3 linked regions of the Danio rerio genome follow. The protein of the gene in region 2 purifies or fractionates together with the protein of the main gene of each other region. This does not show direct contact. Links are inferred from orthologs where the notes say so. Each region holds a gene or a part of one and is shown on either strand. Other genes may lie near its edges.

Region 1 (7,960 bases), on a different chromosome or scaffold from region 2:
TATAAATACTAGTGAAGTGGAGATCTGTGCCTCAGTGCAGGAGAAAATCATCATTTTGGGAAAGCAGCTTTTAAAAAAATAATCGTAACTGAAATCTACAGACACAAATTGATAAAGTAAAATTAATTAAAAACTTGTGATCAGTTTTCTTTTCATAATATTGAAAGCACAACAGTGGTACTGCCTGCAGTGTCTTGCCTCAAAAGATAATTAAAAATGCATAATACAAAAGTAAAGAATGTTTCTTTTAATGTCCGTGTGACCTCTGTACAAAAGATTTATTTTGGGGAAGTGTAGACAAGCAAACAATATCTTTGTATTGAAATCAATTTCTCTGTTTTAAATGTCACGATTAAATGGAAAAAGACCACTGTGCAGTTGAAAATAAAATGTCCATGTTGACAAAACTGGTTTCTGAAGAAACATTTGCCTATTCCACGCTCAAGAATTTCCTCTTTTTGGCAGTGCGTGTGTAAGGGTGGTGTCGCCATTCAACATCTGCAGTACTCTCATTCTCTAGCGTGCCCAGCTTAATCATGTACACTGAAAATGATAAATACATGATATTAATTCAAGATGAGCAATGTGCAACACAAGTGTCCATTTTGCACAAATACAAACAAATTTACACACACACGCAAAAAAAAAGTTCCTTACATTTCATTTCAAACCTAGGTCCAACTTCTGTCAACTCAACGTTCTTGTGATCAGTTTTCTTGTAAGTGTGGTGTCTGCAACATTAAGTAATTCCACAGTCGTTATGTTTATTTTGCTCAGAATCATTGATACAGCAGTTAAAGCACAACTCACCTGAAAGAGATGTAATCATCTGTGTTTGCGAACGTAATAACACGTCTGCTATCCTCTTTGGGTACAGGGAACAGATACTTTAGAATGTTGGACACCTAAAAAAAAAACAAATAATAATTCACATTACAAAGCTTATTGTAATGTGCATGACCTTCGATTGAGCCTAGACTACAGCATACGAAGTGGATCTAAAAAGTTTATCAAAATTAAGACTTTTAAAAAATTAAGGTCCACTTCAAATGTTGACAACTGTGTATCATTACAATAATCAAGACATTAATGATATTTGTTTATTTAAAATATAAATAGAATAGAACATATAACATAGCTTTTTTAAAGTTTGGGGTCGTTTTAAAGAGCTGTATTCATTTAAATCACAAATACAGTTAAATGTTATTACACATACAATAGAAATGTTACTACAAAAGCAACTAAAATAACGGTTTTAATATATTTTAAACTGAAGTTTAGTACTTTGATTTTTAAAGCTAAATTTTTAGTCTTCATTAGCCAGTTTCCCTTCAATGATGCTAATTAAATTTATGAGCAAAAGCAGCGTTTTCATCCAGTGAGTCAAAGAGAATAAAATCGTCGCTTCCTGAACTGGCATTAACTGATATTTCAAATATCAACAGTAAAAACAAAATTTGCTGCAGTAGGAGAAGCTGCATCAATCTTTTCTTGATTTAATAAATGACTTGCACCTCAGAAGACAAATGCCAACATGCAATTGCCATGTGGTGGCGTTTAAAGGCATGAGACGTGGAGCAGAGATGCAATTGGCAGTTCTGTATGTAATTAATAATATAACAACACTAAAACTGAAATGGTTAAGATATTTTAGAATGACCACAACAACATTGCAGATGTTTTACAATGTGGTCAGCTTTCCTTATTTATCCATTCACACACATTTTTATCATCACATGATCTCTTATCATAAAATCACATGACTTTAATGCGCATACTGGAATTTGTTCCTTTAAAGTGTTTCCATCGTAGTTTCTTCTGTTTAACACAAAATAAGATATTTTAAATAAAATCTGAAATCACTGACGTTCATAGTTTTTGTTTTTCCTGCTATGGAAGTCAATGGTTACTGGTTTTCAGCTTTCTTCAAAATATCTTCCTTAGTGTCCAACAGAAGGCAGAAAGTCATAAAGGTTTGAAAGTATTCATTTTCTTGGAATCATACAGATCCCAAACATTTGAACGGCTATGCAGATGAGAAACTCATTTTATTATCATTTCTCAGGGTGTACAACTCACTCTTCGTCCAAGACGTGATGTGAAGTTGTGGAAGATGAGGTGAGGGTAGGCTTCGGACATGGTGCCAATGTCTGGAACATCATGTCTCATTACCACATTATACATGGTAAAGTAGGCTGTTGGCCCAAAAGGAAGGTGACACACCACCAATCCATCTAAAAGAACAAGAAGACATAAATACCTTGAGCAAAAACTGCAAGAGGGATATGAAAGTAGACTTACAAGTACGATACAGCATAAAAGCCCATACCTGGCTGACCTCTGGTCTCATGAACTATAACAAGATCAGTGACATTATTAGATTTGCACGCATGTACTAAAGTTTTAACTTCATGGTTTCCTCTGTTCATACGCTGGGCCCCCGGAAACATTAGCTTCATTTCCTGTCAAACAAAACAAAAAATACCTAAATAAACCACAGTCTGTAGATATTGGTTTCCTATACGTCACTATATGCAAAACACCTGCATAAGTACAAGTGTTTTAAACCATAGTACTTCCTCATGCGTGTCAAATGTGAATAATACGATTTAACATACTTTGGCAAACATCTTGAGTCTGGAGCTGGGGTCTCTGGATGTTGTAACCATAATTTTGGGGTCTTCCACTCCTGCCCACTTGTACTCATCATCCATATGAGAACTAACACCTTAAATAATGTAATAAATAGGTTTAAATACAGTAAGAGATGAAACTCAATTCTGATATACGTGAGAGAAAAAGTCACCTTCTCCACCCTCATCATCGAACTCCAAGAGTTTCTGTACTTCTAATGCCTCTTTTCGAACCTCAGTAGGTAACAGACGATTTTCTGCAAGAGAAGTTTAAAATATGACAATTTCAAAATACATTAGACAAGCTTAGAGATGCAACGATTAACCGATTTCACTATCAACTGCGCTTTAATTCGTCACGGTTAATTAATCGTAAAGGCTTCTCAACACCGCGTTTCAGCACGGAACAAAACTGCTTCAACAAAAAGTTATGCCAACAGTCATGAATCATTAAGAAGCAGTCTCTTCTCATAGGATAAGAAAACTCAGCTATGAATAATAATGAGAAACCAACGTGTCATCTTTGCACTTGCAGTTTTGCACAATGTCTCCGATTTTGATCCCGCACCAAAAATCATTTTAAACCCGGAAGCTGAAATTAGCCGACAAAAGCTCAAAGTTATCCAGTTTTCCTCACAATAAAAGCTGACAGGTGCTAACATTGTCTTAACTGATGCTCAACACACACAATTCTGTTAAAATCTCAAAAAAGTATTCAGCGGTTTCGGGAACCTTTAACTATGGCTGAGGTTAACTAACGGTTATTCACATATCGCACCTTTTGGGGCAGAAAGTTCATTTTTTCTTTTCTTGCGCACATATTGACAGCAATGGGCTTACAATTTCCAGGCACACCTAGTTGAAAGAACGGCGCTAGTGCACTGCAAGTCACTAGACCAGTCAAGAACAGACCAGTCAGCTTTATAATATGTATGGAATATACACATTTCTACTACAAGGAGAACAAAATGAAATACAATAAAAGTTCATAATATAGTTGATTAAAAGCGTCTTTCAGACTGAGGCTCAGCAGCCTTTGACTACATTTATTTTCTTTAAAAGGGAAACACTGAGCTAATATGTAGCTAAGATTTACATTGGACAAATCCTTTTTTTTCTATTTATTCTTATTTTAATTTATTTATTTATTGTTCTGTCATTTATTATTAGTGTAAAATTATTACTTATGTTTAAAAGTCAAAATCTTTTTTTCTTTTATTTATTTTTTATTATTTTTTTCTTTTATAAGTCCAAAAAGAAATGGACAATTGTTTGTTTTTTATTATTATTTTGTGTTGTATTAATTGTTTACTGAGCAGCAGTAAACAACACTTTAAAATATAAGGAGTCCATGTGATTTTCTAAACTAGTAGTGTTTTAATATTAATGAACGCATAATAATTGTGATAACCGTGAATGTGTGATTATTCCTCAGACTATAATCGTACAACCAAAATCTAAAATCGTTGCATCCCTAGACAAGCTATTTACTGCTGGAAACTGACCATCTAAAGCAGACTTGAGCTTCTGTTTTTTCTCTTCAATAGTGCGCAGTCTGTCCTCCTGGGCTTTCCTGTACAGGTATTCCTTCCTCAGTCTCACTTCCCGTCGCAGCTATGGGCAAAAGAAACAATTAAAATAAAATTAATTCATCGTCACATGATCCTGAAACTATTCTAATATGCTGAAAAACATTTCAACCAAAAAAAAAAAAAACTGATGTGCTGCTGAAATGAATTTGAGGAAACTACAAGACTTGCAGGATTCTTTGATAAATAGCAAGTTAAAAAGGACAATTTTGATTTTAAATAAAATTACACTTTAACATAAAGCTAGGTCTCACTTGATCTATTGAAATTGTCCCAGTTGAATATAGTGCTTAATGGGAAATCATATGCATGAAATGCTTACTGCAAAATTGGACTGCATTAGATAAAAAGCAAGCAATGTAGCTATCAAGACCAAATATAGCTACTGTATATGCTCATGTCACAATATATAATGATCTTCACAGAGAGTATATTATTGGCAAATATTTTAAGACAATTAACGTTAACGTTATGCTACAATTATAGAACAATTGAAAAAAAAATTAAGTTTACTTTTAGGGAATCAATTAACATGAATAAATAACTGTACCGATTTTTACACTGGGTAGGGAACAAAATCCTACTTTTAATATAACGTTAGGTTTATATACTGATCATTCTTCATTGTAAGTTAGAGCTTGATCACACTATAACACAAGTAAAAAGCCACAATATTGGCATCATAAACCCCTTATGTATGAAGCGCGAGAGGAAAAACGGATTAAATGAATTTAATGCGAAACTCAAACATGTCTAATAAAATAAATACATTATATTTAAGTTGTACTAACCATTTTGAGAAACTACACGTGACAATTCTGCCTCACGGTCTACAATCACGACTTCCTGTTAGACAACAAGCAAGCATGACGCGGTCTTTCAAAATAAAAGTTCTCGGCACAATACAAATAAAGTTATGGCAAGCCGTTTTAGCTTAAACAAAGCTTTGTTCTGACCAATGAAGGTATTTCGGAACGATTGCATTGTGACGTACGATGTTATAATCCGACTAGTCCGAATGACAATTGGAGAAATCTGCAATCATAAATGTTCTAGTAAGAAAACAGATTCCACATAGGCCTGTAAATGTATTTTGATTATATTTGGGAAAGCTATTATTTATTTAATTGTTTTTACATTTTTAATAATTTATTCATTTCTTTTGGCTTAATCCTTGATTTATCAGGGTCGCAGCAGAATGAACCATCAACTACTCTGGCATATGACATAGATATTATTTGACATCATACATCCTCAAAGGTAAAAAGAAAATTCTTGAAATTGGTTTTGACTGATCTCAAATATATTTAGAGATATCTGAATTTGCTCCTAGTACAAATCGTTCTGCGACGTGATTACCTCAGCTCTCCATTAAATATACTGTAAAAAAAATTCATTCATATTTCGAAAATATACCTCGTCATGGACTTTTAATTTTCAGTAAGCCACCTCAAACACTTCCGGTGAACTGTTATGTCAACTGCCATTACAAAATCGCAGAGTTTAAGATCTGTTTTATTTAAAAATCAAATTCACTGCCTGATTGATATACTGTACGATAGAAAGTGAATCTCAGACCGGATAAGAAGCACTGTTTTAAACTCCATTGTTCTGTGTCTTGCTTAGAAATTTAATTTACCATAGTATTTTCAATGGAGTTTCTGTGCTCCCGTACTGTGTCTTGTCATCTTGTTTTACACCTGAACAATTAAATTAATGCTGCAGTCTATTTTAATGACTGTAATCTGATTAAATTAAATACAAATGGGTCTGTATGAAATTCATGAATCACATTGACCATTTACTACAGGTTTATGGTGGCTGGAACTTGCTGTGCAAAAAGATCATTTAGGTATCCATAAAATGATTTTGAATAGTCAGAATGTTAATATAACATATAACTACATGACTTTATTCAAAGTCACAAAGTTGAATGCAGATATCAGCTCACCAGACTGAGCTATATAATAAAACTAGAGATATCTTTAAATGAGTTTTGACTAAGAAGAATTTCAATTTTATTTACATTAAATGGTTCCTATTTACATTTAGCTGGTTCCAAAGGTCCAATTCATGATATAAAAGTAATTTGACTAGTGCTAAATTATTGTAATTGTATTTTGGATATCTCTTGAATATGGTAAATTAAATTAAATATCTCTAGTTTGGTAATGACAAGTCAAACACTAGAGATATCTAAAAATAAAATAGTTACTAGCAGCATTTTATTACTGCTAGTAAAATTAGAATTTGAAATATCCCAAAAGTATATTTAGGACTAGTCACAATAACGCTGTAGACATATTTAATGCACATAACGCGCCTTAGTCATAACCACATTGTAGATATCTTTATTCCAGTTAAAACAAGTCAAAAATATAAAATAGATTTTTGGAAATTATATTGGAATTTGGACTAGTCAAAAATAAAATTATGACTATACAGCATTTATGTAAGAGTATTTATGTTAAAATGGCTTGCCATATTGATTGACAAAATAGTAGTTGAAACATTCAGTGCTCAGCATATATAAGTACAGTAGCACAACCTTCACAAATCTCTTTTAAATGCATATCTTTAGTAGAAAGCTGTACAATATTATATGTGTGCATTAGATTAGTCAGAACTGAAGCCAAATCTGAAGCTGATCTAACAAATTAACTTAACGGTCCAAAAATTTGTACATTTAAATTTATACGTTTTAGAAAAATAATAAATACAAATTTTAAAAAGAGGAAAAGTCAAGAGAAGAAAAAAAGGGAAAAATGCATATTTTGTAGATTTTTTTTCAATTGCATTATCTTGCAATTTCTGAATATGTTTGGTGACTAAAAAATTATTTTAATAAATAAATTTGTTTGGTTTAAATGCACCCAAATGCATTGCCTATATTCACTGAGAAATGGACAAAAACATTAATTTTCAAAATTGGGTGTACACATTTATGCTGCACACTAGTTGATGTTTATAATTTATAATTCAACTTATAATGATCTTTGAGATACACATAATGTTATTAAGAGTTTCGCATCAAAGATAAAAATAGGCTATTTTTCTATGTTTTTGACCGTCAAAGAAAGTCTCAATACTAGTTTCGGTAGTCATGTGGTTCCAGTGGTGTCTGCGGTAGACATGGCAATAAGATCAAAATGGAGGAAATAGTTTTTTCCCACAACATCATGCTGCACAAACACCTTTGATGTCAGTTTGCCAAGAAATCTTGTCTTTGCATCTATCTTGTGTTTGTTTACTTACTACTTTGAGCTGGGTAGTTACGGATTACATGTAGGCTAATCTAGATTATCTAAGCCAGTGGTTCTTATTTCCGGTTCCTGGATCCCCTCACCCTGCACATTTTGCATGTCTTGCTTACTTAAAACACCTGATTCAGATCATCAACTCATTAGCAGAGAATCCATGAATTGATCCTTGTGTGTGTTAAATAAGAGAGACATACAAAGTGTGCAGGCCCAAAGACTGGAATTGAGAACATTTACATTTACATTTACATTTAGTCATTTAGCAGACGCTTTTATCCAAAGCGACTTACAAATGAGGACAAGGAAGCAATTTACACAACTAAGAGCAACAATGAATAAGTACTAAAGGCAAGTTTCAGGTCTGTAAAGTCTAAGAAGGGAAGTGTTTTTTTTTTTTTTTTTTTTTTTTTTTTTTTTTTTTTGTACAATTAGTGTGATATTCAAAGAGGCAATTGCAGCTTAGGAAGTGAAGTGGAGA
Region 2 (7,822 bases):
GCAGTCTAGCACAGACGAAAAGAGAAGATATTAAAAAAAAACTGTGACAGACTGAGTGTGAATTTTCCTGGAAAGATTTCTGTGTCTATTCAGACTGCCAAATAAATTAAAATGTCAAAAACAGATTAAAACTGAAAATTATTCTAACGGTTCTGCAGACGCAATGTTCAAGCAAAACCTCTGAGAGGATAGTGACAAAACTAGAAGCCCCAAAACATCAGTTCCCAATACCACTCCTTTGGTTATCTCTTTTATAAAGAAGATTTAAGGCGTACAAACAAAAATAACTTTCTATTTGGCAGAGGGCTGTCTATGGTGGAGGAATGGTATGAGCCAGCTTGCCTCCCGAATACATGGATGTCAGCCAAAAAACTAAAAAGAAAGCTTCAATCTGTCTACTCCATTGAGAGTCAGATGAGAAGCTTGCTAGGATTTTAATTCACATTAATAAACTTGGCCAAGTTTATCTGCTGTTTTACAGTATTTAAAATGGATTTCATTTAGCTTGTTTCTTTGTTCTGACAGTAAGTAGTGTTTTTTTTTATCTAAAACATATATTGCACCCCCCCCCCCCCCCAAGCGTAAATACAAATATTATTTATAAATGTTACACACTAAATTACTCTTTTAAATTATGAAATTAACCATTTATTCAAGTCATTGAAGAAAATCATCAGTTAGGAATAAATACATAATTATCATAAATGTCAAATACACCGTAACAGGTTACAATAATAGGTTCTGGAATTGTCTGAAAATCTTTGCATATATCACTTAATACATTAAGATGTAGAACTCAACAGTCGAATCAAAGTCACTGGTTTGCAAGACAGAAATATCAATGTTTATTATCTAGGCCTGTTCTATCTCAACAAGTACCCCATCACAGTCTTTAGGGTGGAGGAACATCACAGGTTTGCCATGAGCTCCTATCCGTGGCTCTGGGGAGAGCAGGCGGATTTTCTTTTCCTTCAAATCAACTATTGCTGCATTGATATCATCCACCTGCAATCAAATGGGCAACACAATACTTTTTAGAGAAGTTTAAGGTTCATGATAGTTCCTGTATGTTTTCTGTTAACAAGTAAACTGATTCGTTTCTAAAAAGCTTAAAAAGGTTAGAAGACACAACACAAAAAAGACGGTTTCTGGATTTGTATTATTTTTTCTTTCTTTTTTTTCTTTTATGATAACTGCCATAATTTATGTTAGTTTTATGTTGTAAAGTTGTAAATGCATGAATTAGCACATTAATTATTTAATACTGCATTCTGTTATTTCACATTCATTCTAAAAACTATTTTAAATATGCAATGTGTTTTTAACCTAGGTTATGCATATTCAATGTACATTGTAAATTAGTATGATACATGACTCCAACAAGATTTTACCGGCATGTCTGTTTGCAAATTTTGAGAGAAGCCAAAAACAAGTTTCACTACTAAAAATGTATATCTGACACTTTAGTTCTTCAAAATGCAAAAAGCTTACAAATTTAGTAAACTAAAATAAAAAGCAATACATTTAATAACTGTTCTAAGGGCTGCACAATATATTGTTTCAGCATTGATACTGCAATGTGATCACTCAATAGTTTCATTGCAAGTTATGCGATGTTGAGTTTGTAATATTATAATTCATCATTTGCATGTGTTTTTGAGGCATTCAGGCATACGAAATTGTACATTTTGTAACTTTAATAATGAATTTAGAGTCACAGAAAAGGTAACTGGTTCAAGCCTCGGCTGGGTCAGTTTGCATTTCTGTGTGAGTTTGCATGATCTCCCCGTGTTTGCATGGGTTTCCCCTGGGTGCTCCAGTTTCCCCCAGTCCAAAGATATGCGCGATAAGTGAATTGGGTAAGCTAAATTGTCTGTAGAGTATGTGTGTGAATGAGTGTGTATGGATGTTTCCTAGTACTTGGTTACAGCTGGAAGGGCATCCGCTGCATAAAACATATAATGGATAAGTTGGCGGTTCATTCCACTGTGGTGACCCCAGATTAATAAAGGGACTAAGCCAAAAAGAAAATGAATGAATGAATAATAAATTTAAAATATTTTTCATTTGTATTATTCAATTACTGTACCTGAATACTGTTAGACTCTGAGAAGGATAAAACAGTTTATTTCTATTGTATACTTTTCTTACTGTATTTATATATTGATAATGAATTTAATTTATAGAATTTATAAATAGATTTATGCTTGTAGATTGTTTATGGAGATGCACCCTACAGAATCAACCATCTTAATCTAAAATTATGAATTCTTTCCAGATAAAGATTCAAATCATCAGGTGAAATTGTATTCATATTGCAATATACAAATGGCAGAAGAGCAAAATATTGTAATATTCGATTTCTCCAATATCATGCAGCCCTAATTGCTCTATTGAAAAACATACATAATCAAAATCAAGGTAAATGTTATGTATCTATTAAAATCTTATGAAAACAAGCAAGATTGTCATAGCAGGGAACATATCAGCCAATAAGAAGGTGCTTTAAATATTGTATTAAAATCGGTGACCTCCAAATTATAAAGAATAGAGAACTACTGATTTCCCCTAATCTGATGTACCTCAATGCAGATATGATGCATCCCTCCAGCTTTGTTCTTCTGCAGGAATCCTGCAATAGGACTTTTCTCTCCCAGTGGGTGCAGAAGCTCTAGTTTAGTGTTGCCCAGTTCCACAAACACAGTGTACACCCCATGCTCAGGGAGAGGCACAGTGTCGCTCACTTGAGCCCCCAGCACATCACGGTACAGGGCTGTGGCTTTCTCCAGGTCTGGCACTGCGATAGCCACGTGATTCAGCCTGCCCAACTTCCACAATGACTGAGGGACACCTTGACTGACGGGACAAGTCAGAGACAGAGCCCTCACTGGGGGTAAAGTGTGCCAGGCACACCTCGACAGCCCTGTAACTGCAGGAGAGATCAGCCTCAATGTGGATGCAATAAATATAGTACGATAATAATAAATTATATTATGGATTTCAAACATGAAAGCTGTCAGAGAGGGAGACAGATATTACAGAGACACATGCAAACTGAATAAACTCATTCATCGGAAAGATGTAGGCGCAATAAAACATCTCAGCTTACTACTATTTACCTGCAACCTTCAGTAAAGAGGAAGCCATCTTTGTGGTCGCTGAGAGAAAACTTTATTTAAAAAGAACGAAGCACGTGTTTAAATACTCGTTCTGGTTATAAACGCTAAATTAACATATTACTTATTTTTATATTTACATATAAGATGCACAACCTTTATACATAATTGTGTCATACTGTAACTCATTAAATCGCAAAAGGGACAAGTTTAACTTTCTGCGCGGAACTCAATGCAATGCCTTATGTTTCCGGGGGGTTGTGTTTACCAAGCGCACGCTCAGCGTCACCCATGTGAGTGCAGAGATGGCGACGAGGGATGGCGGCACGCTGGAAAGCTGTTTACAGTTATTAAACAGCAACACGTCACACCCGGAGCTATTTCTCAGGTTCGGTGCACATTAAATGATTTAAAAAAATTCTGAACGCGTTACAACATTTTATTGCTTTAAAAGTTATGAAACACGTATCGGGCCACGCATGTGCAAAACGCTCACGTTGTGGTTGCCAGGTTAAATATGCTTTAAAAATGTAAATGACACAGTTATACATGTGCTGTAAATGTAAATAACACAGTTGATAATTTCTCCGTTCATGAATGATTACCTGTGTGAGTTTTATTTTTAAACTTGAAGCTAAAATTATTCGCGTTATCAGTAGTCATTCGGTAAACTAAGTTACAGCTATGTCCGGGAAGAACTTACTGTCATCTTTTCTATTTTATCTATTATAAAATATGATATATTTTATCATCTTATCTATTATTGCAGTGTCCAGGATGTTTTGGCAACAGACTTCAGATCACTTACAAAGACTCTTTATGACCTGCAAAAAGCCCACGAACCTGCAGATTGTAAAGGAAGCCCACTGGAGCAGCTGGTGGTTGAAAACTTCGACGAGGAGCAAATATGGCAAGAGCTGGAGCTTCAGAACAGCGCATTACTGACACACTTTGAGCAGGCAGTCGAGCAGGCGGTCACTGATGATGCTATAACATTTCTGAATGATGAAGGTGATGATGTTGAAGAAGACGAAGAGGAGTTGGAGGATGTTGATGATGAGGAAATTGCTGATAACTTGGAGCAAGGGAGTGCTGAGGAGGAGGATGATGAAGATGCAGAGGAGGAAACTACACAGAGGCTGAAACCTACAAGCAATGGGGAAGATGACTTCTCTGGCGAAGACTCCGATTTGGACTTTGATGTAGATAAATTTGAGAAACAAACCAAACAGAGACAGTCTGCTGCTGGCAAGTTAACAAAATCTAAACCGAACTGGACTCAGTCTGAAGTGGATGACAAGTTTTTTAAACTGTCAGAAATGGAGGCTTTTCTGGATGACATGGATAAAAGAGAGGGAAAAGGGAATGAAGGGGAGGAAATTGATTACTTTCAGGATCTGCCGTCTGATGAAGACGATGAACTGAGCTTTGATAAACCAGTCGTGAAGAAGAAACTTAAGGTAATGGTGTTTATTTTAAGCAGTAACATACTTCTTTGTGTTATTTTGATACTTTTTATGTTTTAATTTTACAGTATTACATCAGTCTACAGGGCTCTAGTTGTTTAATATTAGGTTGTATAGATATGTTGTGTAATGCAGTGCTCAACATAATTGAGTACAACCTGTTTTGAAAATGAATATCTTTATCCATATTTATTTATCCAATAAAACAGATTAAGTAAACAGATGTATTAATTAAAATAATATTTTAGTCACCAAACATATTCAGAAATTGAAAGATAATACAATTAAGTTCAAGCATAATATAAAAAAAAAATACAAACTGCAAAATTTCAACAATTTTTTTTTCCATTTTTCTGTTTCTCTTGGATTTTTTTTTTTTTCTCTTTTAAATTTGTATTTAATATTTTTATATAACATATAAATTTGGGTGTACTAGTAACGGAAGTTATTTTGTTAGATAAACTCCAGATTTGGCTTCAGTACTGACTAATCTAATGTATATGCACAAATATATTATTGTATAGCCTCCTATTAAAATATGAATTTAAAAGAGAGATTTGTGAGGGGTGTACGTGTATATGCTGAGCACTGTGAATTTCAGTATTGATTTATTTAGAATACTTTGTGCTATGATGATGTATTTTGTAAAACTCACAATGGGATTTGGTTTTCAGAATAAAAGCTCCAGAAATATGAAATACAAAGATTTCTTTGCACCTGTGGACGGAGAGCCTGACCCTATTCCAGATGAAGAAAAAGAGCTGGAATCGAATGATGATTATGAGGGAGAAGAACAAGATGATGATGAACTAGAGGAGGAAGATGAAGAGGATATGAATGAGGAGGATTTTGATATGGAGAGGTAAGTCTTGAGGATACCTGCTGTCTGTTTGTGTGATATTTGTGTTACCATAATGTGTTAAAGCAAGCCTACCTCATAATTCTGATCTAATGTTTGCCTCTTCACTTAGGGATGATGATGATGATGATGATGATGATATAGGTGACAAAGTGAGAGATGGTTCACGCAGGGTGACCTTTGACCTTCCTGATGACAGTGAGGGTGAAGATGTAGAAGACATTCTAGGTGGAAAAGCAAAAGATGTGCCTAAACCTGAGTCTAAGTCATCATTTGAAAAGCGACAGGAAAAGGTTTGCTTTATACTAGGCCTGTCATGATTTACAACAAATATATGCAGTAAATTATTCTGTTTTGTGTTGTTTACAGTCCAGCGTTGTTGTACGGCTTCATATAATGTTGAATGATTGTGATTGAATTGAATGACCATTATTAGATGAGTAACCAAAAATTGCGACTTTAAACCGTAAATGAAAAAATATTTCCTCTTTTTTCCTGTAAACTTCAAAGTGTATTTGATAGTGTTGTTTTATGATTGTTTATTCATATATTTTGTACATTTTCAAAACAAGCTTTTATTATTGTATTTTGTTAATTTTTGGTTTAATTTATATACAGTTAAAGACATGATCAAAAGGGCCTACTGAGAAATGAAATCTTTTTAGTGATGTTTAACATGGCAAGGTAATTTCTGACATTATTTCCCATTCTAGTTTTCCATTTTTATAACTTTTTTTTTTTTTATTTAAGAAAAAAAAGGAAAACGGAACAAAATGGGTATCATAGTGTTCACTGTATTAAATCTCAATCCATTTAATGCACCTTATTTACAATGCCGTACTCAGTTTCATCTTTTCTTAAATCAAGTGTTTAGGGATTTATTGTCATTCTGCTACATGTGGGGACATACAGAGGAATGAAATTTCATGCCTCACAGGAAAAGGGTGTTACACAATTAATCATTAATACAAACACAACACTGGACATAAGAGCTTTTAAAAAAAAATAAATAAACCTATGCTTTACTAACATATACTGTAAGATACTTAACTACTTAACTAAAGTACATTTACATGAGTTAATCTTGAGTTAAACCCATTCACATATTCTTTCTTTTAGTTTGGCTGGAATAAAAAAATGGCAAAGGTTAATATTACTAGCTGCTTGCATTTTTTTCTCTCCACAATTTGATACAGTAGTTGTGCAGTAACCTGCTTGTTTAACCCAGCTTGCCTAGTAAACCTAATTAGCCTAGTTTAGACTTTAAATTTTACTTTAAGCTGAATACTAGTTCCCTGCAAAAGCACTAGTGAAATGGTATGTACTCTCATCATGGCACAGACTAAATAAATAAGTTATAAGAAATTGCTAATTTTTATGTTAAAAAATGTTTGCAAAAATATTTGTTAGTCATCTCTTGGGAGATATTTGAAATAAAAGTGAGATTAGAATATATAATTTTCATTAAATTTTATTTATCATGTTTTATTTATTTTTAGTAACTTAAATCTATTTGGACAAAAACAGCTTCTGCCTAATGACAAAAGCGTCTGCTAAATGTAAATGTATTTCAGACAATTCAGCTAACATTTCTTTATTTTTTCATCTTTTTTTAAGGAATAATTGATGATTTTTAGTCGTCAGCCATAACCCTGATTTGCCATCAATTTTTTGCAGATGGTGAAGCAGATTGAAGAGCTGGAAAATGCTGCGTTGTCAGAGAAGCCGTGGCAGCTGTCAGGAGAGGTGACTGCTCAGACTCGACCAGAGAACAGCATGCTGGAAGAGGACATAGCCTTTGATCAGGCCTCTCGAATGGGTGAGAGCTTTACTCGGGCGTTCACAGCAGAAAGCAAACAAATCTAAGCATACTATCAGTGCATGACTTGCATTCTCTTCTCCACAGCTCCTGCAATCACTGAGGAAACTACCTTACAACTTGAGGATATCATCAAACAGAGAATCAAAGATCAGGTTTGTATACAACTTGAGAAAATAGGGGGAAATAATTAGTACATTTAGTGCACATTGTCCCTTTTAACTAAATACAACCTCAAATGATTTTCTTCTTCATGAATAAGATCATGTCTCTCACCGTATCTGATCAGTTTTTGTTGTGTTTGTGTGTCTCAGGTGTGGGATGATGTGGTCAGGAAAGAGAAGCCTAAAGAAGAGGTGTTTGAGTATAAAAAGAGACTCACTCTGGATCATGAGAAGAGCAAACTGAGTCTGGCTGAGGTTTATGAGCAGGAGTATATCAAGCAGACACAGGTGAGCTCAGTGGATCATATCATTTCCTGTCTGTAAGGAATATTTCTGAAGGTAAAATGAAATTTCTACCATTTTTTATTTGTTCCAAAATTAAAACAGAGTTTTGTTGT
Region 3 (5,956 bases), on a different chromosome or scaffold from region 2:
GGTAAAAGCTGGTATCTCTGGGTATTTACAATGTCCCCTGCAATAGAAAAAAAACCCTCTCATTTGGGACTGAGGTTTGTGGGACAAGAGAGATATGACTTGGCCCAGGTTGACAGCAGTGGGTAACGTTGTGCATTGTCTTTCCCCCACTTGAGAGGACAAACCATGAGTGAGATAGAGATCTCATGTCTGCATCAATCTGAACAGTGTGCTGTGTTTCTGCAGTCCCCATGACTGATTATTAGTCGTATTCCCCAACTTGCAGGCACGTGCACACACAGGGCTCAACCTGTGCAGTGCACATGCCCTTTTTAGTCTTGGATAGAAAGTTCCCTTCCAAAATGATCAAAAGTGCCTCCGCGACATACCCTCCGTCCCCGCTTTACAGTACGCGCGCGACAACACCACTATTCAGTACGCGCGCGGCGACAACACCCAGCTCTTTTTCATCCCCGCTTCTAGCAGCACACTCCATTTCCGCATTACTGGATCTGTAGCGACAACAGACCGCAAGGGATTATGGCCAAGCCTGGGCTGATGGGAATTGTAGTTTCCGGTACCTCCCGTTCGCTTCATTCGCTTGAGCAAATTTTCTCAGAAGACCTATAGTTTTACCGAGTCATGCGACTACGGTAATATCGAAAAAAATTTATATTGCGGTATGACGGTATTCACAATACCGTTACATCCCTAGTGTATATATATTTAATATTAAGTGACTAAAATTTTAATTATAATTAAAAGGTTAAGTAAAATAAAATAGCATCAAATTACCGCAGGCAAATGTTTACATTACTTAGCTTGGTTTATGGAACTGGCCTCTTTATTAGGTACACCTGTCCAACTGCTCATTGACGCAGATTTCTAATCAGCCAATCACATGGCAGCAACTCAATCCATTTAGGCATGTAGACATGGTCAAGACAATCTGCTGCAGTTCAAACCGAGCATCAGAATGGCAAAGAAAGGTAATTTAAGTGGCTTGAACGTGGTGTGACTGTTGGTACCTGACGGGCTGGTCTGAGTATTTCAGAAACTGCTGATCTAAGCTGATTATTACACACAACCATCTCTAGGATTTACAGAGAATGGCATGAAAAAGAGCAAATATCAGGAGTACAGTAACTCAAAAAACCACTCATTACAACAGAGGTCTGCCCAAGAGCATATCTGAATGCACAACATGTCCAACCTTGAGGCGGAGAGGTTACAGCAGCAGAAGGCCACACAGAGTGTTACTACTGGCTGCTAAGACCAGTAAGATGAGGCTACAATTTGCACAGCTCACCAAAATAACACAATAGATTGGAAAAACATTGCTCTGGTCTTTCTGCTGTGACATTCAGATGGTAGGGTCAGAATTTGGCTTTAACAACATGAAAGCATGAATCCATCCTGTCTTGTATCAACGGTTCAGGCTGGTGGTGGTTGTGGTGGTGGTGTAATGATGTAGTAGATGTTTTCTTGGCACATTTTGGGCCCATTACTACCAATTGAGCATTGTCAACGCCACACCCTACATAAGGAGTAATTTTGATGACCATGTCCATCCCTTTATGACCACAGTGTACCCATCTTCTGATGGCTACTTCCAGCAGGATAACACGTCATGTCAAAGTGCAAATCAAATCATCTCAGACTGCTTTCATGACAATGAGTTTACTGTACTCGAATGGCCTCCACAGTCACCAGAACTCAATCCAATAGAGCTCCTTTGGGATGTGGTGAAACCTGAGATTCACATCAGGAATGTGCAGCCAACAAATCTGCAGCAACTGCATGATGCATTCATGTCAATATGACCAAAAACTCTAAGGAATATTTCCAGTACCTTAAATATATGCCACAAAGCATTAAGGCAGTTCTGCGGGGTAAAGGGGGTCCAATCTTGTACTAGTAAGGTGTACCTAATAAAGTGGCCAGTGAGTGTATATATCAATTTTAAATAAACATGAGAGCGCACATGTTTTTGCCTATATGATGCACACGCAACCTAAAGCCACAGGTGACAGTTTGAGTTGTTAGTGGATTCATGTGGTCAAATGTAAATGGGACCATTTTCAGAAATCAAGATAGCCGTCTGAGAAAATGCATGAAGTGGCCCAATGTAAACCAGCACTTTAAGTCTGCTATTAATACTGCTTATGTTTTCTCACCGCTGATTTAGTCTGTGTGTGTCTGTTTTAGCCATTGAGAGAACATTTTACAGCACATATTTACAAATTCATTCAAACACTACTCTATGGGCAGTTTTAAGGTGTTCTCTAACAGTTTATCAATGCTCTGGTAATTTCAAACCTTTGCTTCGAGTATATGAGGACACGTTACATGTTTTATGGACACCGTTATGGCTGAGATTACATTAATATACCTAAAGTGCTCTGATTGTAAACTGTATGCTCAAAAAAACATCAAGCCCTTGTCACTCTGTATAATTGTCAATGAAAATGCATCTTGACTGAGCAACAGATATTCGTGTTGGGCCAGAAGTCATCACTGATCCTGCATTTCTTGTAACAAGGTTTGTCCATTGAAAGAAAGAAAGATAAAAGAAAAAAGTTAAATTATGTGAATCTTTGGCAACTTTTGTTGTGCAATATTTTCACAGAAATATGGAAGATTTTGTCACATGGGTGGATTCCTCCAAGATCAAACAACATGTCATGAACTACAATGAGGAGGTACGTCACAATACATGAATAAATGATCATACACTAGAGTTCAATATCAAGTCGATTACACTCACCAAGGCTGTTTTTAAAATACTTTTTAAAATTGTAACTATTGAAACGAGTATTACAAATTAAAGTAAAGCTTTTGTATTGAAATGTTTTACAAATTGAATTTACTTTGATGATGGCAAAGCTGAATTTGTAGCATCATTACTTTTTTAATTTCAGAATTCATTTTAGTATGCTTTTGATGATTAAGAAACTATTAATATTGTGCTGGACATTTCACAATTTTTCGATAAAAACGAACAGCATTAATTAGAAATATGAATATTCTTTATTGAATATTTTAGTCAAATAGTTTACAATTTAATCGGTTAACAAAAATATATAGCCGATGTTTTAAATAAAATACCTCCAATTTTGATCAGTGTATGCAAAACGTTTAATAATGAAATGCATTCAGGAAAATATTTTCACGTTTATTTAACACATTTCTCCCAGTTTGAATGAATGCTGCCGTTTCTATGATCACATTGATGCTGGTTAAATGAATACAAAACATTTGAACTAATCGCTTGTTTGTTAAAGTTACAATTTTTTTTTTTCTTTCAGCGCGATGACTTTGACCTCATGGCCTAAATCTCCAAGTGAAATGAAAATTTGGATTTCATCCAGAAATTCACTTGTGATTCTTTAATAATGCACAGATACATATTTATTTCCTGCTCCACAGAAGCGAGCATTTATCATTCTTGAAAAAGTGAGTAAATGTATTTGATTTTTGTTATTGTGCATCATTTGTAAACAAAACTTTTTTTTCCAGAATTTAGTTGTTTCTAAAAAACTACCTTCACATTTTACAAATAAATCACAACTTAACCCACAAGGTATACCAAATATAATTTGCATAGCTCTGTTTCCAACATACAGGAGACATACAAGGCAACACACGCATCTTTAACTCCTTCCACTGACATGTTATAAATAAGGAAGGACATCATCATTACAAACCCTCACTAACCTGCATTCAGTATGTCAAAACAGACACAACTTTAAGGCCAGAACAGACTATTTGGTGTCCGAACCATTTTTTTTTTTGTGAGCAAGGCCCTGAGAGTTTCTGCTTGAATTTGTTCCGTGTATTTCACAGCCACCAGAAGCGCACGTAAATGATGAGTGTGATGATAATGACTGCGCCGGCAGCCACTTTAGCGTAGGTAGACCGGGTGTTCAGATATTTGGCATCACTGCGGTACTTCTTAGACAGACTGGACAGATTACTTGCTTTGGAATCCAAGGCTACAGGAAGGGAAAAAAAAAGACATTATTTCAAAGCATTTCAAAATACTGTTATACTTAAACAAATGCAAAGAGTAATCTGCTCATACCAGTACCCTTAAATGCCACTTTACATCTATCCAATAGAAGAAAAACTCAAGATTTTTCTTATAAAATATATTAAAGATAAGGATTGAAACGTATTTTAATATTGTTTTTCTATAATTATCAATTATTCTGGTGTTGTGCGCTGGTAATTTTGCTGATTTAAACCTAGTAATGGATCGATTATCATTGTGGTCTGCATAATAGAGTACACCCCATTTTGAAAATGAATATTTTAATCTAATTCTCAGTGAATATAGACTGTGTTTTGGTGCATTTAAACGAAACATGTTTGTTAAACAGATATATTTATTAAAATACCATTTTAGTCACCGAGCACCTTTAGAAATTGAAAGATAATACAATTAAATTCAAGCAAAATTTAAAAAATAAAAATACAACCTACAAAATTTTAAGTAAATTTTTTGATTTATTTTCCTTCTCTTGATTTTCCCTAATTTTTAAAATTTGTATTTAATATTTTCTATAACAAAAACTTTGGGTGTTTTTGGAGCGTTAGCGCAAGTTATTTGATAGATAAGCTCCAGATTTGGCTTCAGTACTGACTAATCTAATGTATATGCTTAAATATAATATTGTAGAGCTTCCTGTTAAAACATGACTTTAAAAGAGAGATTTGTGAGGGGTGTGCTCAAATATGCTGAGCACTGTACCTTCACCAAGTGTCCAAGTCCTTGTCTGAGCGATTCACTAAATAATTCTGAAGATTCATTCAAAATTCCATTCATTTAGTTTACAGAAAGGGTCATAGAATAACTGACTCTGATTATCTGCTCAAACTATCATTTAGGAACATATTTTGCTTTCATTGTAGGGGTATTCTAATGCCTTGATTCCACTGAGTATCATAAGGTAAGGTACAGTACGATTCGATATAGGTCAACCTGATCAGCCTTGCATTCCCACTGCCAAGAGAATCTTTTTACTTGGTGTTGCAAACAATAATGTCATTCTCACTCACATACATCAAGCCGTGTACAGATTGCCTTCTCTGCACTCAATTTCATTATTTCAAATGCAGACGAGCAGCAAATAGAGGAAGAAAGTGGTCCGCTTTGTACATATTTAGATGTGATTGTTATGGCTTGTTGCACATGCAAGTGACAATTCTCTGTAAACCAGTGGCATTCATTGGCAAGTCTAGCTCCACCTTTTTGTTACCATACTGTTGTGCCATGCACAGTTATGAAGAAGTCGCAAAAAAATTGTTATGGGTTTGTTATTTTAGTACTTTTGAAAGTGGAGACAGAAATGAATGTCTACCGTAGAGTACTGAACTGTAACACTAAGTGGTTTATTAACAGGCATTCATGGCTTCAAATGATTTTAGATATGCTGTGAATATTTTTTTTGTTGTTCAAAGTGAACAAAGTATACTATAATATCAGCTCTTTCCTCACTGTTCATTTCAGGATCTGGGGCCTCATGTACGAAGACTTGCGTTGAATTCACACAAACAGTTTCATCAGTCAGAATCAGGACCTAATTTGAGAGTTGTAACATTCATTCACCCTTTTAGATAAGGTCTTCTCAAATCTCGAGCGCAAGTCCTCTTCACGCTATGAGGTTCAATGTTGATTAAAAAAAGGTTTATGAGTTTAAACACTGATAGTGACGAGAAGTGTGTGCGTCTGGTTTTACGTGCATTAGCACGCTGTCAAAACTAGGGCAATAGTCTAATAATGGTGTGAATGACTGGACCTGAGGACAGTGAAAAAGTTTAGTGGATGTTTACTACATTCAAATACATGCAAAGCCAGTTTAGAGAGTAACTAAAGGAATGGGGAAATGCCATTTTTAAATTTAAATGCAAAACTTTTAAACAATTTAAATATGCGTATTGAACAGTGGAGGGTTTTACAGAATGGTTCAATATC

The links.
Region 1: the proteins of mphosph10 (region 2) and imp4 purify together in Homo sapiens (affinity purification with mass spectrometry; 3 studies listed by BioGRID and IntAct, with this or other methods). This does not show direct contact. The link is inferred for Danio rerio from reciprocal best matches to the Homo sapiens genes MPHOSPH10 and IMP4.
Region 3: the proteins of mphosph10 (region 2) and imp3 purify together in Homo sapiens (affinity purification with mass spectrometry; 4 studies listed by BioGRID and IntAct, with this or other methods). This does not show direct contact. The link is inferred for Danio rerio from reciprocal best matches to the Homo sapiens genes MPHOSPH10 and IMP3.

What each region holds. Positions count from the first base shown.
Region 1 is NC_133180.1:27,456,454-27,464,413, reverse strand, and holds imp4 (U3 small nucleolar ribonucleoprotein protein IMP4), read right to left. Parts: upstream 5,085-7,960; 5' UTR 5,017-5,084; coding exon 5,014-5,016; intron 4,248-5,013; coding exon 4,139-4,247; intron 2,891-4,138; coding exon 2,807-2,890; intron 2,729-2,806; coding exon 2,619-2,728; intron 2,463-2,618; coding exon 2,330-2,462; intron 2,235-2,329; coding exon 2,080-2,234; intron 906-2,079; coding exon 811-905; intron 732-810; coding exon 658-731; intron 544-657; coding exon 431-543; 3' UTR 263-430; downstream 1-262. UniProt on the Homo sapiens protein: Component of the 60-80S U3 small nucleolar ribonucleoprotein (U3 snoRNP). Required for the early cleavages during pre-18S ribosomal RNA processing. Part of the small subunit (SSU) processome, first precursor of the small eukaryotic ribosomal subunit.
Region 2 is NC_133182.1:30,739,451-30,747,272, reverse strand, and holds the start of mphosph10 (U3 small nucleolar ribonucleoprotein protein MPP10), read left to right. Parts: upstream 1-3,389; 5' UTR 3,390-3,421; coding exon 3,422-3,504; intron 3,505-3,885; coding exon 3,886-4,576; exon of another isoform or gene 4,577-4,678; intron 4,679-5,050; exon of another isoform or gene 5,051-5,160; coding exon of another isoform or gene 5,161-5,256; coding exon 5,257-5,444; coding exon of another isoform or gene 5,445-5,445; intron 5,446-5,553; coding exon 5,554-5,734; intron 5,735-7,118; coding exon 7,119-7,260; intron 7,261-7,347; coding exon 7,348-7,415; intron 7,416-7,574; coding exon 7,575-7,712; intron 7,713-7,822. UniProt on the Homo sapiens protein: Component of the 60-80S U3 small nucleolar ribonucleoprotein (U3 snoRNP). Required for the early cleavages during pre-18S ribosomal RNA processing. Part of the small subunit (SSU) processome, first precursor of the small eukaryotic ribosomal subunit.
Region 3 is NC_133177.1:10,331,050-10,337,005, reverse strand, and holds the end of imp3 (U3 small nucleolar ribonucleoprotein protein IMP3), read left to right. Parts: intron 1-2,469; coding exon 2,470-2,521; intron 2,522-2,608; coding exon 2,609-2,681; intron 2,682-2,986; exon of another isoform or gene 2,987-3,287; coding exon 3,288-3,314; 3' UTR 3,315-3,572; downstream 3,573-5,956. UniProt on the Homo sapiens protein: Component of the 60-80S U3 small nucleolar ribonucleoprotein (U3 snoRNP). Required for the early cleavages during pre-18S ribosomal RNA processing. Part of the small subunit (SSU) processome, first precursor of the small eukaryotic ribosomal subunit.